Linked DNA regions of Cricetulus griseus. The main gene of each other region encodes a partner of the protein of the gene in region 2 in a complex. Links are inferred from orthologs where the notes say so. Each region holds a gene or a part of one and is shown on either strand. Other genes may lie near its edges. The genes, in order: Coq4 and Coq7.

Region 1 (4,585 bases), on a different chromosome or scaffold from region 2:
TGGCTTGCATGGAATGATGGAGGCAGATGCCAAGTGGTAAGTCCTTCAATAGTTGGGAACCCCCTTTCCTCCCACCATTTGCCTTGTCTGGTGCTGGAGAGTGCCACACTGGCTATACTCTAGAGCAGCAGGGGGATACAGTGCAGTGATTTAGAGAGTACTCTGGGGTTGAACAGTGCTCTGAGTGGTACTAGCTGTGAAGTTATCAAGTTGTTTCACTGTGCTGTGCCTGTGCCCTCATCTCTTGCAAGAGGATAACAATAGAACATACTTGACAGGGTCACTGGGAGGATCCAGCCAGCTCATGTACCAGCCTGGCAACTGGCATGCAACAGGAAGTTAATAACCTTCAGCTAGTGCCAGTATTTGGAATGACATTCCCAGTCCATCTGCTCATTCCATAGAAAAATGACTGAAAAAGCCCTAAGCTATCATCCCCATGCCACTCCTCTGCCCGTGTTGGTAACTGCTAGGTGTACAGAGGCTGGAAACTCACATTCATATCCAGGAAGCGGAGATACTCACGGCCCAGAGAGCCTTCAGGCAGGCTCTGAAGCTTCCTTAGGTCAAGAGTAGACAGTGAGATCCGGGGACGCTCTCTGAAAGACAGAATGCAGGAGGTCGGACTGGAAGTGTGTCAGCCAAGGCTAGTGAAAGAGCCACATAGAGGAAGCTGGGGTGGGCAAAGGGACACAGGACATCCACATAGCCACAAGACCAAATGGAGCACTGTAGTATTGGGGACTGTGGAGACCATCACAAACCAGGGCTGAGCTGATGCCTTCAAAGTCATGATCTAGTCAGAGGAGAAGGGCCGCAGATGTGATAAGGGTACTCACAAGTGACATTGCAGGGAGGGGATAGTGAGAGATATTTGGAGGGGTACAGCTAACACAGAGAGCTTAATGCAAGGGGAGTCTTGAGGCTGACACTGGGCTAAGACAACATATTGTACAAGCCAGGGGATCTAGCCTACATACACACATGTGCTCCTGGTACTGAGCAATGCTGAGGCAGTGCATCCACCCATGGGACTCCTGCCAAATGTCAAGGCAAAGTTTGGACCTACTGGAGGATCTGGGCACCCTCTGGATCCTTCTTCATCTGGTCCCTGAGGAATTTCAGGGTGCAGTATCCTGTGGTCTCCCCTAGAACTGCAACCATGTCTGAAAGGACAGAAATGGGCACAGATGGAGGATAGGATCTTTTTGTTTTTTTGAGACAGTTAGTCTTTTCAGTACAGGCTATCCTGGGACTCACTTGCCTCAATCACTCAGCGATCTTCCTGCCTCTGCCTCCTAAGTGCTAGGTTAAAGGTGTGTGCCACCACGTGGCAGCTAGCTGTTACTCTTAACATCATTTTTTGTTTGTTTGTTTGTTTGTTTTTTTCAAGACAGGGTTTCTCTGTGGCTTTGGAGGCTGTCCTGGAACTAGCTCTTGTAGACCAGGCTGGTCTCAAACTCACAGAGACCTGCCTGCCTCTGCCTCCCAAGTGGTGGGATTAAAGGTGTGAACCACCACCGCCCGGCTATTCTTAATATCATTAATCTACTAGAAGATGGAGGCTTTGAGAAACAGTGTGTGAATCATTTTCATATCCCATTATCAAAATAGATTATCATGTTTCCACTATTAGTACAGGCCAAATTTGGTATTAAATGGTGATGAAGAGCTGATGTAACTAAGCTGATGGAGTGCTTGCTTAGCACACTCAAAGCCCTGAGTCTGAGTCCCAGCACCACATAAACTGGGTATGGCAGCACATACCTGTAATTCCAGCATTCACAGGGTTAGGAGGCAGGACAATCTGGAATTCAAAGTCATCCTAACCTAAGTAGTGAGTTGCAGGCTAGCCTAGTCTACATGAGACCTCATTTCAACAAAACAACCATTTTGAAAAATTGTTGCTAGTTTTAAGTCTAGGTACAGTCACTCTATATGTGATCCTATCTAAACAACTCCACAGGTCTTCTTCCTCTCCCATTTCTTTTTTTTTTTTTTTTTTTTTTTTTTTTTTTTTTTTTTGACAATGGCTGGTTATATAGCTCAAGCTGGTCTTGAACCGACTCAGCAAAGAAAATGCTTAAGACCACGGTCCTTGACCTTACCAAGTTTACTACCTAGTGAGAATGTTATAATGTGGTGTGTACCTGCAAGCCATTCAGTCCAGAGATTAATATGCATGGATGACAGAGTCTCCCTAGAATTGCAAAAATGAAGACCTGTAGATTCCACACTTCCGTCACCTCTTTTCCCTCTGCCCTAAAGATTCACTACAGTGACTTTGGCTAGAACCAGGCACCCGGTTATCATAAACGTTCCTGGGGACTATGAGATAGGTGGAGCCAGGTTTTGATGCCCGAGACTGCCTGACTCTCCGGTCAGGAAACCAAGGCTTTGACAGAGGTCATTGCCGGCCCCGGCTTTCGAGGGCGGGGAGCGAACGGCTTTACCGTGGCGATAGGGGTTGTAGAGTGCCATTCCCGCCGAGCCTGCGGCCAGCAACATCTTTTGCAGCGAGGTGGTGGGGATGTGGCCCGGGTACAGCAGGCGGGGGCCATGGCTCCCGGCCCTGAGGGGTACATCTGTGGGGCAGGAAAGGGGTACTGGTGAGAGGCGCCGGGTTCCTTCAGTCGCCGCGAACGCCCGGGTCAGAGCTGCTCACCTACAACCAGCCGCAGACGGAGCGGGAGACTGCGGTGGGGACGCAGGGAGCGAAGCAGCAGGGTCACCATGGCAGCGGATGTCCGCGGTGGGTGGGCGGGGCTCCGCTGGCACGACGGAGGCCGGAGAAGTCAAAAGACTCCACCGGGCTGCACCCGCTGTGGCGTTTTGATCGGAAATGTGATATGGACGCGGGCGTGGGAAGGAAAGACAGGATTTGTCTGCCACTGTCGTAAGACTTCGCTGTGAGCTAGGCGTTACCGATAGCGCATGCCTGTCAACCCAGCGCTTGCAAGCTGGAGGCCGGAGGATCAGCTCAAGGTCCTTGCTATTTAGTACATTTGAAACCAGCCGGGGCTACTTGAGACCCCGCCTCAAAAACAAAGCCGGGTGTGAATTACACCTGTCACTCCAGCATTTGGGAAAGAGAGACTGGAAAATCGGGAACTTTCGGCAATCTAGCAAGCTCGAGAGCAGCCTGGGATACATGAGAAAAAAAAAACAAAAAACAAAAACTCCTGAAAGGAATTCCCGAAAGAAGATAATAGAGAACTATGCTGTTCAACATTCGGCCCTATTTCCTTCTCCACCGCATGTTTCCCCCCGGAGGACAATAAGATGAGAACCTCTTCCGGCTGAGGAAACATGGCAGCGACTTACAGTAGGGACCACATTTGGGACAGGACCATGCGGCACTTCCGTTTGCAGCCCAGATCCTGTATCATGCGGTGCTGCTGAGTTCCAGCCATGGGGTCTTCGGGCCTGGCTCGCCTGCAGGGCCTCTTCGCGGTCTATAAACCTCCCGGCATGAAATGGCTGCACGCGCGGGAGACCGTGGAGCTGCAGCTGCTGAAAGGCGAGTGCTTGGACGCGGACCCACAGTTCTGCATTACTTCCATCCGGAGTTCCTGCAGAACAAAGTCACGTGACACCCTCGCTTGGTTACAGCCACATCCTGGTTTTCTGTTGTATACATTTCGGTACTCCCCGCTCTCCGCTATTTTCTGTTAGAGAAACGCATTCCGTACTGTTGTTTTCGCACGGTTACTCTTTGAAAATTTTTCTTGGCTTTTTGAGACCGGATCTCGAGTAATTAATTAATCCGACCTTGAAGTCAGTAAGGATTTAAGAATTCTGACGCTCCTGTCTCCACCTGGCAAATGCTGTGTTCACAGGCATGCATCACCACACCGAGTTTCAAACCCCACTTTTTCTTTGTTCCCCCTTTTGTTATTTATTTATTTGTTTATTTATTTTTGGTTTTTCGAAACAGGGTTTCTCTGTGGCTTTGGAGGCTGTCCTGGAACTAGCTCTTGTAGACCAGGCTGCTCTTGAACTCACAGGGATCCGCCTGCTTCTGCCTCCTGAGTGCTGGGATTAAAGGCGTGCGCGGCCCTTTTGTTTTTTAAACAACTCACATGTAGGCTCAAATTTGCTATATAAGCTGAGGATAGTCTTGAACTTTTTGCTGCTTCAGCCTTCACTTGCTAGGGTTTAGACTACACCAGTGTACCACCTGCTGGGGCTGGAACCCGGGGCATCTTACGTGTTGTGCAAACATCCCATCAACTGAGCTATGGTTCCAGCCCAGGCTTTCTTAAAGGACTCTTGTGTTTATTGTTTGTTTGTTTTCTCGAGACAGGGTTTCTCTGTGTAGCCCTGACTGTCCTGGAACTTGCTCTATGGACCAGGCTGGCCTCGAATTCAGAGATCCAACTGTCTTTGTCTCCTGAGTGCTGGGATTAAAGATGTGTGCCACCATGCCCAGGCCCCCCCCACCCCCCCTTTTTGTTGTTTCTTGAGACAGGATTTCTCTATGTAGCCATGGCTGCCCTGGAGCTTGCTCTGTAGACCAGGTTGGTCTCAAACTCAGACACCTGCCTATCTTTGCCTCCAGAGTGCTGGGACTGAATGCACGTGC
Region 2 (3,810 bases):
CAGCTCTCCTGATGCAGTGTCCAGAGAGGGGCAGGGTGAGCTATCCCCAGGCCAGCAAAGGGCAAGACTGGCTCAGCAAGGCCCTCGGATTTCAACACACATGGTTTCTATGGCCCCACATCTGGGGATGTTTAATATGTTTAATATTGGATGTCACCCAATATCTACCCTCTAGATGTCAGTGGTAACTGCTAAGCATAACTATTGAACATTTAGATACTCCCATGAATGCTCTGCAACAGTCACTCCATATTGAGAAGCAGTTTGAGCTCGTTATTAGATGCCAGTCACAAAGTTCTTTTTGAAAGTATTTTTCTGTTTTATTTGGTTGGTTTGATTTTTTGAGACAAGGCCTCACTATGAAACCCAAGTTAACCTGGAACTTACTGTGTATCCAGGGCTGGCTCGTAACCTCCACCCCCTACCTTTGCCACCTGCGTGCTGAGGTTACAGGTATGCACCACCAGGCAGGCTCAATGAGCCTTGGCCCTTCTGCTAGGAGCTGAGAGTGCTAAACTAGGTTCTTTGTTCTTCCTTTTTTTTTTTTTTTCCTTTGGGGTCGGGGCTCAGTCTGTGTAGCCCAAGCTGTCCTGGAACGTGCTTGCCCTGTAGACCAGGCTGGCCTTGAACACAAGAGATCTGCCTGTCTCTGCCTCCTGAGTGCTGGGATTAAAGGGGTAAGTGACCATGCCCAGCACTCAAGCTGTTCTCAGGTTAACATCACCAGGAGACATCATCTGGCTATGACTATATTATCTAGCTTCCCTCTGTGTGTATCATACTCTCTATTTATGAAAGTGATGAATCTATCTTAGTCATATAAGCAAAAACAGTTCAATCAGCTTCAATTTAAGTTTAGGAAAACACTAAGTAAATAAAAAAGGTTGGATGAGGGCATGATAAGAGTTACAGAGGCATGAATAATCAACCCGTCACCAACAGCCAAGTGGCTCCTGGACAGACACTTACCCAGTGCAAAGCCTGCCACATTCCACAAGGGCATCAGAATTGTAGGTCGAACCCTGAACGCAACCATCAGCTCGTTGAACTTTTTCAAATGGTCCTTCTCTTGATCCCACATTTTCTGGAAAAAGAAAATCAAAAAAACTAAAAAACAAAACAGAAACCCAAAACAAAAAGAGGCAAGCATTACAGGGGCCTCTTGATATACCCTGAGGACTTGCTACGTACGGCTGAGCACACAGGAGGCAATAAGGAAATGGTGTAATGATGGGAACTCGAGTCACCCATCCCTTATGTATCCATAAGACAAAGGCAAAGCACAGAAAAATCTCTCAAAAAAGAAAAGAGCCTGCAAGGCAAAGGAAGAACTGAAGCTAGATCTCAGACATAGCTAAGAGTTCCACTGCCACACCTCCAGACCCACACACACGTCAGTGACCAAGCTTCACATTTGTGTACAAGATGTTGACCCAGTTCAGAATTGGGAGGGCAAAAAGTCAGATGTGATGTAATTTCCTTCTAGACTTGACACAAAGGATGGGGACAGAAGGACAAGAGCAGCTAAGGTAGGACAGTCAGTGATAGTGTAAGACAGACAGTTGATGGTGAGATGCCATCAACATGGCTTTGGAGGCTACTCCTGCCATCCACACTATGCCTTATTAAGGCAGATGGATTATCCCTGAGGCTCATAGCACAGCCAGCTTGCAGTGAGTCCTCTGGAACCCAGGCAGGTTCTGAGCCATCAGTTCAAGCAACCACAGATGAAAACAGTGGAAAAGAACTGTGTCCTAAGAACACACAGACTGTTCTCACTATGAAATAGAACCCCAAATGTGTGGTATTCTCTTGGCATGGGGGACTCTCAGTAGCCTTGTCATGCTTCAAGGCAGAGGTGCAGGGGCTATCTGCAGATGTACACCATCTTATGCCTGGAATGAGCTCTGGGGACAGGGATGTCTGTGGGGAATCTGATGGGACAACATGCTAAGCTACCTCATGGTAGGCAGGGTGGCAATAGTTCCATATGAGCTTATTCCCCAACCAAACCCAATGAGTTAGAGGTCTTACCAGGCTAATTTGCACATAGGAAAATGGAAACCTAAAGGTCATGTGACCTCTTCAAGGAGGCAGAAGGTGAGAGCTGGAAAGGAAACCTGGATCTTTGGGTCTGTAAAACTCTCTCTCTCTGGCACTCTGTGCTAAGACAAACCTACAAAAACCTGGCACATGGAACATTCCCCCAGTGAAGGGATTTTCAGCCTTTGATGCCACAAAACATTCACACCACAAACACAATTTCCACACCCAATTTCTTTCTCTCTTTTACATTTCCTTTCTATCCATTCTTTCTTTCTGACCCGAGACTTCCTACGTAGACCAGGCTGGCCTCAAACTCACAGAGAGCTAGCTGCCTCTACCTCCCAAGTACTGGGACTAAAAGCATGAAGCACCACACCCAGCCATATCCAATTTATATCTGTGCTTTTACATAAACAGAATATGCACTCTGTTTCCCTGCACCTCCCTTTAGAACAGACAGGCAAGTGATTCCTACAGGCTTCAGATACATTGCCAGTGCAATAGACCAGGTTGAGACTTAGGGAAGAACCCACCTGAATGACAGGGCCAACACTGGACCGGCCCAGCACAGCCATTTGCCCTGCATAAATGCGGTTTGCTCCATATTCACCAGCGTGATCCACCCGGATTATTCGATCCACAGTTGCCCGGTTAATGTTGTCTAAGGTCATTCCTGAACTGTGAAACCTGACATTGCCTCTTCCATAGGCTGCAATGAAAATGCAAGTAACAGTCCTTCATTATCCACACAGAATATTGATGGTCTTTTTTATTCTAAAAAAAAATTACGTGTGTGTGTGTGTGTGTGTGTGTGTGTGTGTGTGTGTGTGTGTGTGTGTGTGTGTTGATGTGCACGTGGCAGTCAGAGGACAACTTGCAGGGACCAGTTCTCTCCCTCTTCCATGTGGGGCCCAGGGACAGAATGCTTACAAGCATAATCAGGCTCTTATGCTTGGCAGCAAGCACTTTTATGAACTGAGCCATCTTCTGTCTCCTTTTGCAAACAGAATGAAAGACATGTTAGAACCAAGACCATAAACAAGCTAGATATGTCTACCAATGCATTCTTTGTCATCTGCAATGCTCAAACCCAAAAGATTTCACCTAAAAACTGGGGTTTCTGGCTTCACTTTACACATATGGCCACCTGGAAAGGTCGAAGCCTGTCCTCACCAGGCAGCTCACGAGACAGCTGCTTTGGGAAAGGCTCTCCCCTCCCAAGCTGTACAGCAGAAACTCATGGAGCACATCCAAAGTCATGATGCTCTTCCCCAGTCTCCCTGGGAAGAAGGCCCTTGCTGGTAGTCTGAAAAAGTTCAGGGTGCAAAGTCTGGCAGCCCAAGTGGGGACTTAGAAGTTCTTTTAATACTCCAGTTTCATGGACAGGTGACTTGAGACCCAGCCTGACAGCTTAGGTTTGACCTCACAAACTAAACTCTTTAAATATAAGGTATGTTCACAGGTCCCATAGAAACCACAGGTCCTCTGGCTTGTCACTCTAGCTGCCACCTAAGTTGGCATTACTTAAAGTGCCACAGGCTCTTTGTGCACTATGACTACCAGGTCTAGAAAGCAGGTGAAAAGGTTCATCTGGGACACATCTTGGGCTCTTCCATTAAGAAGGCCTGAGGTCTTCAGACAAAAGGCCACGGGTGAGTCAGTCATATATGAGTCAGAGTCCTGAACATGAACTCTGCTATCAAGTAGAATTTTAAATGTTGTACTTTTATTATGGTGCTGGAGGTCAAGTCCAGGGCTTGATGC

What was found.
Region 1: Coq7 (region 2) and Coq4 share a complex: the UniProt entries of both Homo sapiens proteins name them as parts of the multi-subunit COQ enzyme complex. The link is inferred for Cricetulus griseus from reciprocal best matches to the Homo sapiens genes COQ7 and COQ4.

Annotation. Positions count from the first base shown.
Region 1 is NC_048599.1:141,441,842-141,446,426, reverse strand, and holds the start of Coq4 (ubiquinone biosynthesis protein COQ4 homolog, mitochondrial), read right to left. Parts: upstream 2,820-4,585; 5' UTR 2,736-2,819; coding exon 2,666-2,735; intron 2,586-2,665; coding exon 2,454-2,585; intron 1,167-2,453; coding exon 1,070-1,166; intron 600-1,069; coding exon 497-599; intron 1-496. Other genes in the region: mitochondrial mRNA pseudouridine synthase TRUB2, read left to right, coding at 3,412-3,520. UniProt on the Homo sapiens protein: Lyase that catalyzes the C1-decarboxylation of 4-hydroxy-3-methoxy-5-(all-trans-decaprenyl)benzoic acid into 2-methoxy-6-(all-trans-decaprenyl)phenol during ubiquinone biosynthesis.
Region 2 is NC_048596.1:82,083,070-82,086,879, reverse strand, and holds part of Coq7 (5-demethoxyubiquinone hydroxylase, mitochondrial), read right to left. Parts: intron 2,756-3,810; coding exon 2,580-2,755; intron 1,085-2,579; coding exon 970-1,084; intron 1-969. UniProt on the Homo sapiens protein: Catalyzes the hydroxylation of the 5-methoxy-2-methyl-3-(all-trans-polyprenyl)benzoquinone at the C6 position and participates in the biosynthesis of ubiquinone.